Regions from separate parts of the Mus musculus genome. Here region 2 is reported to be linked to region 1. Evidence: microRNA targets listed by miRTarBase, many of them from high-throughput screens and not tested one by one. Region 1 holds a microRNA gene; the other region holds the end of a gene's coding sequence.

Evidence for each region. Region 1 holds the annotated microRNA mmu-miR-1933-5p (AGUCAUGGUGUUCGGUCUUAGUUU, at 2,857-2,880, shown strand). A microRNA usually pairs through its seed, bases 2 to 8, with sites in the 3' UTR of a target mRNA and lowers its output. Matches are read on the target gene's strand: a 7mer-m8 pairs with bases 2 to 8, a 7mer-A1 pairs with bases 2 to 7 and ends in A, and an 8mer does both.
Region 2: the mRNA of Supt7l is a reported target of mmu-miR-1933-5p. Seed matches in the 3' UTR shown: 7mer-A1 at 1,818-1,824.

What each region holds. Positions count from the first base shown.
Region 1 is chr11:21,343,520-21,347,519 of GRCm38, reverse strand. Mir1933 (microRNA 1933) reads left to right here and starts at 2,845; the gene lies at 2,845-2,932. All of the region lies in intron 3 of Ugp2 (UDP-glucose pyrophosphorylase 2), which reads left to right.
Region 2 is chr5:31,512,223-31,516,445 of GRCm38, reverse strand. Supt7l (SPT7-like, STAGA complex gamma subunit) reads left to right here. Exons shown (of 5, transcript NM_028150.2): 5 at 520-1,877. The coding sequence ends at 782. Gpn1 (GPN-loop GTPase 1) reads right to left here. Exons shown (of 14, transcript NM_133756.5): 14 at 3,542-4,223. Among named protein-coding and RNA genes, the nearest start is that of Supt7l, 12 kb to the left of the region's middle.

The DNA of each region.
Region 1 (4,000 bases):
TATTTGAGAGAATCTTTTACTAATCCTTTTTGGGGGTTGGGATTCTTCAGTTTTGAGCAACTGAATATCCACACATCCCATTTTAAAACCAGGATAACAGCAGAATGTTCACACCAGGTACCGAAGCTTGAGAGATCTTTGTAAGAATTTCAAGCCCCCATAACATTTAGAATTATGTGTATGTGATTTGTTTTTTCCATAGTAGACAGTAGACAGTCAGTGTTGCCATACTCCCATAGGAGACCATGGCCTATGAAGGTTAAGAACTGCTGTCTTACAGATCTGGTTCTGCACATCTCTAATCCCAGCATTCCAGAGGTGGAGACAGGAAATCTATGCAAGTTCAAGACTTGCTGGTCCTACGTAGTAAGTTCCAGGCCAGTCAGGATTGCATAGTAAGACCTTGTCTCAAAATAAAACAAAACAAAACACAAAAGCAAAAAGAACAAAAAACAAAAACAAAAAAAGAAACTGTACAGAACTAGATCTTTACAAAACAAATATAGATCACTTATCAGCATTTTAGCTTTGTGTTTGTGGAGGACTTGAGTCCAAAACTGACTAACTGGCACAGGGATAAGACCGACTTTCTGGTCTCCTGGGGTGAACCTGACACAAGACTTCTCTGAGAGTAAATGGCTTATCAAAAAGAATAAACCTGTGAAAGTAAGACTCCAAAATACTGCTTAAAGTTACTCTCATGGTGGTCTTTGGTTGGACAGATGGTGAGTGTGGCTGGTTCTTTGTCTAGAGTCAGAAAAAGAACCAGAGAGTTTCTTTGCTCCTTCATTGGAAAACACAAGATGTTTATATTACAATTTTTAACGATAGCAAAATTCATGAATAAAGTAGCAACAAAATAATTTTATGGTTGGTGGTCACCACAGCAGGAGGAACTGTGTTAGTTGGTCTCAGCTTTAGGAAGATTGAGAACAGCTGTTGATACACATATACCTGCACTGTAGTCTTCCACAGGACTCTCTCTACAGCCGCTTTCTCTTTCCTTTTTATCCACCTCCATCTTCCCAGGCCTGCTTCCACAATGTGAATTATATAACTAACTAACAATGGCTAGGCCAGTGGGTTAGTGTGAGGTGGGGCAGGCAAGGTGATTTTATTAAAGCTAGCAGATTTTGACTTAAGAGAGTTGTTATTTGGTCCTTCCTTGGATTCTGGTTTGTTTGTTTGTTTGTTTGTTTGTTTTTGCAAGTTCTTTAATCACCTGACTTTGTCCTTCCTAATCCATACTCAGATGGGATGTTGTGTGTAAGCCACCACCCTGTCTGATAAGGATATGGACCGCATGCTGCACATGATTGACTTATCCTATGACCGTAGCTCTGTCTGACATCTACAACAACTTATAAGAGGAGTGTACCTTTTTGTTATGTTTAAATGCTTCTTGTTTACCATCTATGTATGTTGCTTTTACATTTTGTAGTTTAAAAATATTCGGAAGTCTTTTAATCCCCTAGAATTTCTATTCAAATTTTGAGAGTTCAGTAAAGTATAGGAGTGGATTTTTCTTCATGTTTACCTTTCTAAGTTCTAGGACCTTGCTTGCCATCTGTAAAGCGCTGCTTTTTATTTAATTTTTTGCTTTTTATTTAATTTTGATTTTCTCACCCTGGTTTTCTGCCAGTTCTTTTATCATCAGATCTTCTGTACTTTATGAGGTTTAAAGTACACAGGGATTTTACAGTTTTACATCTCTTCAGTAATTTGAAATTGCTCCCATTTTTAATAAGATGGCAGTACGTGAGAGTTTGACAGGTAAAAATATCAACAGTAGGAAACAAAATACTCTAAGTCGATTAAGATGTAAAAATTGAATTAAGTGGTTTACAATGGGTTTTTAAATAAACAATTTTACAGTAGTTTGAGTTAGAGAAAATTTTTTTAGAATCCATCTTGTTTTTAGCTGGGAAGGTAATAGAGCTATCTAAGCTAATTTTTATTGTCTGTATTCCATTTTAAAACTTCTTTCTGAGTCACCGTGAACATAAGATGATTACTCAAAAGGACTGAGAGAATTCCAAAGTTCAGAACGAAGTTTATAAAACAGGAAACATGGATATGTCAAAGGGTACCTGTGACTTGACTAAATATTGGAAACAGGTGGAAGCAGGCCATTGACTAGAGATTATTTACAGAAAGGTTCAGTTAAAACAATTGTCTTCATGTACATAGTCCTAAAGCCCTTTGAGGATTGTAATGTATTCTCTAATTTCAGGAGAGCATGAAATACCATTTCAAAGGTGCTTGTTTTATCTTTTATTTTCTAAGCCAAAAGTTAATTTTTGTTTTATTTATTTGAAATGGTAAGAATCAAACCACAGTCTTAATGCAAGATAGCCAAGTCATCTCTTTGTAGATAATTCAGCTATATCTCTTCTCAGTAGTTTTCATTTAATTAAGTTTGATAGATCATTTACTAGTAAAAACCAACCTAGGAAATTTCAGCAGCAGCAGGGAGACGGCCTAACACAGCTACCAGCAGCCTAAGAGACTCTTAGAGACCTCCTCTAAGGTAGAGCCAGATCCTTGCCTGTGCTGCAGAAAAGAGTTTCAAGAAGCCCCAGAGTGAAACAAAGTTAATTATTTTGTTAATTATTTGGCAGACTCATGGGAAACGGATAGTACACAATACCAAGATATAGGCATGGGCTTCTGGAGAAAGCATTGCACTTAAGGATCTTTACCATGGTAATATGTGTAATCCTGTGGCTTCTAAATTACCTACCTTCCTTCCTTTTCTTTCTTTCACTCATTCCTTGGCAGTTTCATACATGTGTAAGATGCATTCTGGTTACCCCTACTCCTCTCAGCACCTCAGCATATCTGTCCTGATCCCACAGTCATGGTGTTCGGTCTTAGTTTGTGACCAGTTTAGTTTAACCAGGACCATCAGTGTGACTATTGGATTGGGACTATCCACTGCGGTGAGTGTGGTGCGGTCACTGGTTAGGTATACTGCTGAAGGTAATGACTGTGTTTCCCAGAATCTTTCAGTAGGAAACAGTTTAGCAGAGAAGATTAGACCTACCCCCTCACTCATCCACGTCTGGCTGTTAATGAGCTCATTTTTGTGCAGGCTGAGCGAAACCATTTCCAGTTGTTTGAAGGGTATGCCTAAGTTGGCTGGATACTGCCCATTTGGGGGCTTTTGGAAGGCCTTCTCTCTATTTTCCACACTTACATTCTTTATGCTATATCCTCTTCTGCATTGTTCCTGAGCCTTGGAAGAAATGGCGTAATGCCTTGTTTAGGACCAAGCACTCAACCGTCACTTATTCTCAGGATCCTATATAGCTATACATTTGTAATTGTTGTAGAAACTATTTAATCCGGATCCAGGGTTTCTACCCTGCCTTAGATCATTTAGTTCCCAGATAAAAATCATACATAACCTTTATATTTACAGTTAGCCTTAAACAGTACAAGAGCTGGGCAGATATCTACCCTCTATGTTGTTAGAATCTACTTTACTATCAGTAACTCTGAGTTATTACTACTTGCTATGTTTCATCTGGGCTGTTCTTAACTCCAGTTGGCCAGCCTTCAGAGCCATGTTCTCTTGACTCCTAACCCATGGTGGTTTCTCCTTTATCCTCCTGTGCCTCTCCTCTTCCTTCTCCTCCCTCCCGTCATCCTTCTCCTCCAACCGCACGCCTGGGAAACCTAAACCCCATCTATGTCTCTTCTGCCCAGCTATTGGCTATTGGCATCTTTATTTACCAAGCAGAAATAACTTATGAGCAAGGTCTGTATGCTGACTGAGTTATCTCTGGGACACCCAGGTCCTGGGGGGCCGCACTTACCATTACAATAGATAACAAAAGACCAAACCTCAACATGTTATCTACCACAAGTGGTAATTGTTTCCATATACTTGGGAGATGGTTCCATGTTATGACAGTTTAGCACTCTGGCCTCCCCAGCTGTGAGTTTATGAGTACTTGTATCGTACCAGGTATGAATTCCCATTATAATCAGAGAA
Region 2 (4,223 bases), not on the chromosome of region 1:
TGCAAGCATGAGGACATGAGTTCAAATCCCAGCACCCATGTAAAAGGTGTGGATGGCTGTGTGCCCACAACCCCAACACTGGCCAGCCAGCTTAGTGAAAACTGAGTTTCCAGGTTACGGCAATAAGAGAGCAACGAAAGAAGATGCTTCCATACCTCACATCCTTCTGTGGCTTCCATGTGCAAGCATGAATACAGGAAAATAGAGCTTCTTATGGGGGTAAACTGGAATTGTGTCTGCCTTTGAACATAATCTTTCTACCCAGTTTTCTTTTTTTTTTTTTTTTTTGGTATAGGAGAAGTAGGGGTGAATAAGGGGAAGGGAAAAACCATGAAAGTGGAAAGGAAGTGGTAATTTGGGGGTAACATTTGAACCCCAGACTAACAGTGACACCCTCATCCCATGTGGGGTGCTGTAATGAAAGCAGCTCGGAGGTCGCTAGTTGTGTGAGGGCGAGATGTGCAGGTTCTGTGTCTGCCTCCCCGTGGGCTCATAATCTCTCCTTCCCTTCATTTCTAGGTGCAGAGGTCAATGCTTCTCCTCTCTGGAACCTGGCTCACGTGAAAATGGAACCTCAAGAAAGTGAAGAAGGCAATGTGTCTGCGCATGGGGTGCTGGGCAGTGATGTCTTTGAGGAGCCAATGTCAGGCATGAGTGAGGCTGGACTCCCTCAGAGCCCTGACGACTCAGACAGCAGCTATGGTTCCCACTCCACTGACAGCCTCATGGGGTCCTCCCCTGTGTTCAATCAGCGCTGCAGGAAGAGGATGAGGAAGATTTAACTGCAGAGCGCCAGCAGGAAGCCCATGAGTAGTAATTAGACTGTATTCTTAAGTGTAGACCTTTGCTAATGTCAGAGACAGTTCCTAACCTAGTAACAGTTCACTTTGCGTCGTTTCTGTACTTCTTTAAAACAACTAAGCCACCGTTCGCAGCTGAGTTGTGATACTGACCTGGTAATCAGACCAAAGTACTGTCCCGGCTGGTTTTATCTCAGCTCCTCTCAGCCGTGTCTCTGGCACGCTTGAGAGGAGTCATGCCACTTTGATGCTCCTTGCAGAGGTGGGACACTGAGGTGCTTTGCTTAAATTTCAAAGCTTGCATATATTCATGTAAATATATGCAATATATGACGTCTATAATAGACGTCAGCAATTCATTCGTCTATTTTGTGTCGTCATTGGGAACCCAGTAGCAAGACAGACAGTAACAGCTAAACTTAAGTCCATCAGTCAGAGTTCAAACTATTCATGCTACTCAGGCCTCTTACAAAGTGAGAGCCGTGGGGACAGCTGTTACCCTTATGCAGCTGTCCCCAGAGTTCTTTCTTTTCTAGATTATTCCAGCCAGCCTCGTCATTTTTACTTTCCATATGCTCTTGTGCTGACCCAGACTTTTTTTTTTTTCGAGGCAGGGTTTCTCTGTGTAGCCCTGGCTGTCCTGGAACTCACTTTGTAGACCAGGCTGGCCTTGAACTCAGAAATCTGCCTGCCTCTGCCTCCCGAGTGCTGGGATTAAAGGCATGTGCCACCCACGCCTGACTTTTGACCCAGACTTTTAAGTATCTTTCACCATGCACACGCTTTCACCTTTTCTCCTTGTGAAGGTGGCAAACAGGGCCCACCACAGCTGCCGGGTACGCAGCATCTGGCTTTGCTTCAGAACAGCTGTTGGTTTGTTTCAGGTGTTTGTTTTGGTTGTTTTGTTTAAAAAGACATTTGAGGATCCAGAGAGATGGGTCAGTGGGTAAAGTCACTTGCAATTTAAGTTTGATACCGGGGACACACATGGTGTAAGGAGAGAACCAACTCCTCCATCATGACACACACACACACACACACACACACATAAAAATAAATTATTTTTGGAAAAAGTCATCTGAGTTATTCCAATTCTTTTTTAAAGATTCTTTGACCATTCCATATGCATGCATAGTTTTTCCCTTCCCCCAAGCACAGCTTCCTCCTTTCATGTCTTGTGTGTGTGATCCAAGGTTCATCAGAGTTGCCTCAAGCTGAGAGGGAACTCACTTCCTGAGCAAGGACAACCTAGCAGCAGCACTCACACTCTCCTTCACAACCACTGCTTACCACCCCTTCAGAGGGGCGCCGCCTCAAAGGTACCCTCCTCACAATGACACCTTGACAGGTCTTATACAGATGCATACAGATAAGCACAGCTGCAGTTAATGAGTGCTGCATCAGATCCGGAGGACATCTTTCTGCTTTCTATCTCCCTTCCAGCTCCCTATCCTCGTGTTCTTACTTTCCACCCCTCTCACTTGACATTCTCTGGTTGTAGGAGGGGTGGAAAGTAAGGGCCATACAGATCTGTCAGCCCTTCACCATCACGTCCTCTGCTCTCTGGCCAGTTACTGGTTAACTGATGCCCACTGCAATCAGCTGCCAAGGCTAAGCACAGCACCTATCTCAGCACAGGCTGAGCACAGCAACTATCTCAGATGGCACACGAGATGACAAAGGATGGCCATGCTCCCTTCCTCCATGACAAACCAAGGTTTGTGGTGAGCTCTCCTCAGAGTGTTTGAGGTTTGTTATATGTGTGTGTGCTCGTGCATGGTGTGTGTGGCCTGTATAGCGAGGCCAGAGACAACTGCTGTGTGCAGTCAGTTCTCTCGTTCAACCTTTACATGGGCGCCAGGGGTGGAAGGCATGACGTCAGGTTTTCATAGCAAGAGCCTTTAACCCACCAAACCATCTTGCCATCACAACTTAACAGTTTTCAAAGACAGTCACATCATGTACTCTAGACTAACCTATAGTCCTACCTCCTAAAGAAGTTACAGCTTAATTTTAAAATAGGATTTTTGATATTAATCTTTTTTAAGGCCTATTTATTTTATATATATGAGTACACTGTAGCTGTCTTCAGACACAGCAGATCCATTACAGATGGTTGTGAGCCACCATGTGGTTGCTGGGAATTGGAACTCAGGACCTCTGGAAGAGCAGTCTGTGCTCTTAACCACTAAGCCATCTCTCCAGCCCCTCAAATTAATCTTTAACACTCTTAAATCTATCCTGTTTTAATCTTGTGGTAGTTTGAAACTGGACCAAGGCTCATCTGGAATGGAGGTGTGGCCTTGCTAGAGTAGTCATGGTTTTGTTGGAGAAGGCCAGGCTTTGAGGTCTCATATGCTCAAGCCAGGTCTAGTGTCTCAGTTCTTTCCCTGCTACAAAGATGTAGAATTCTCAGCTACTCCAGCACCATGTCTGTTTTAAGAGTTGCTGAGGTGGTCATGGTTTCTCTCGACACGGAAATAGAAACCCAATAAGGCAGATCACATCTTCATTTTCATAAAGTGGCCAAGATGCAGTTAGTACACTGAATTCACTTAGGAAACAATCATTAAGCACCTCCATATTGTAGTATGTGTCCTCCGTTTCTCCCTCTCAGGATGTCCAGGTACTGCTGCATACCAGGCTGAAAGGATGAAGTGTAGTGGAGGGAGGAGGCAGCTTCCCCAGGGATTTTAGTTTATAGCTCTTTAGACAGTACTGAATGAATCTTAGCCAATCTTCGGTGAAACAGCTGGTGCACACACCTTTATTGGGGTGGGCTTGTGGACTTTATTCAGGAAGGACAAGGGATATATATGAACCATGGAGAGTGGGAAGGAGTTTCCAGGGTGATTGTAAAATCATTGGCTAGAGTTTAAAGTACTGTGAATGCCTCATTTGTATGGAGAAGTAGTCCATGAATGCCAGGTACTTTTGGGCGGGTTCTTATCCAGAAAGAGGAAGTTGCCTTTCCCAAGTAGAGGGGGTAGGGGTGTTGGGCTCCACAGGCTGCTGGTAAAGGGAGTTCTCCATTTTGCTCAGAGCTCAGAAGAGCTACCCAGATATTCTAGTCTGCAACATTAATTAGTTTCCCCACATCATATACTAGGTCTTGTACAAGTGATGTAAAGACAAGACCCTTAGAGAGCTGCCAGCAGGAGAGAGAGAGGTAACATTTTAAGAAAGAAAAGGAAAGGGCACCACGGAAAAGAGCTGAGCATGTCAGTTCCGCTCTGTGTATGGTTCCCCCTTAAAGAATAGGTCAAGCATGATAGCCCAGTCCTATAGGTCCCACACTCAGGAGGCAGAGGTGTCTTCATTTTTTTTTTTTTTTGGTTTTCCGAGACAGGGTTTCTCTGTGTAGCCCTGGCTGTCCTGGAGCTCACTTTGTAGACCAGGCTGGCCTTGAACTCAGAAATCCAC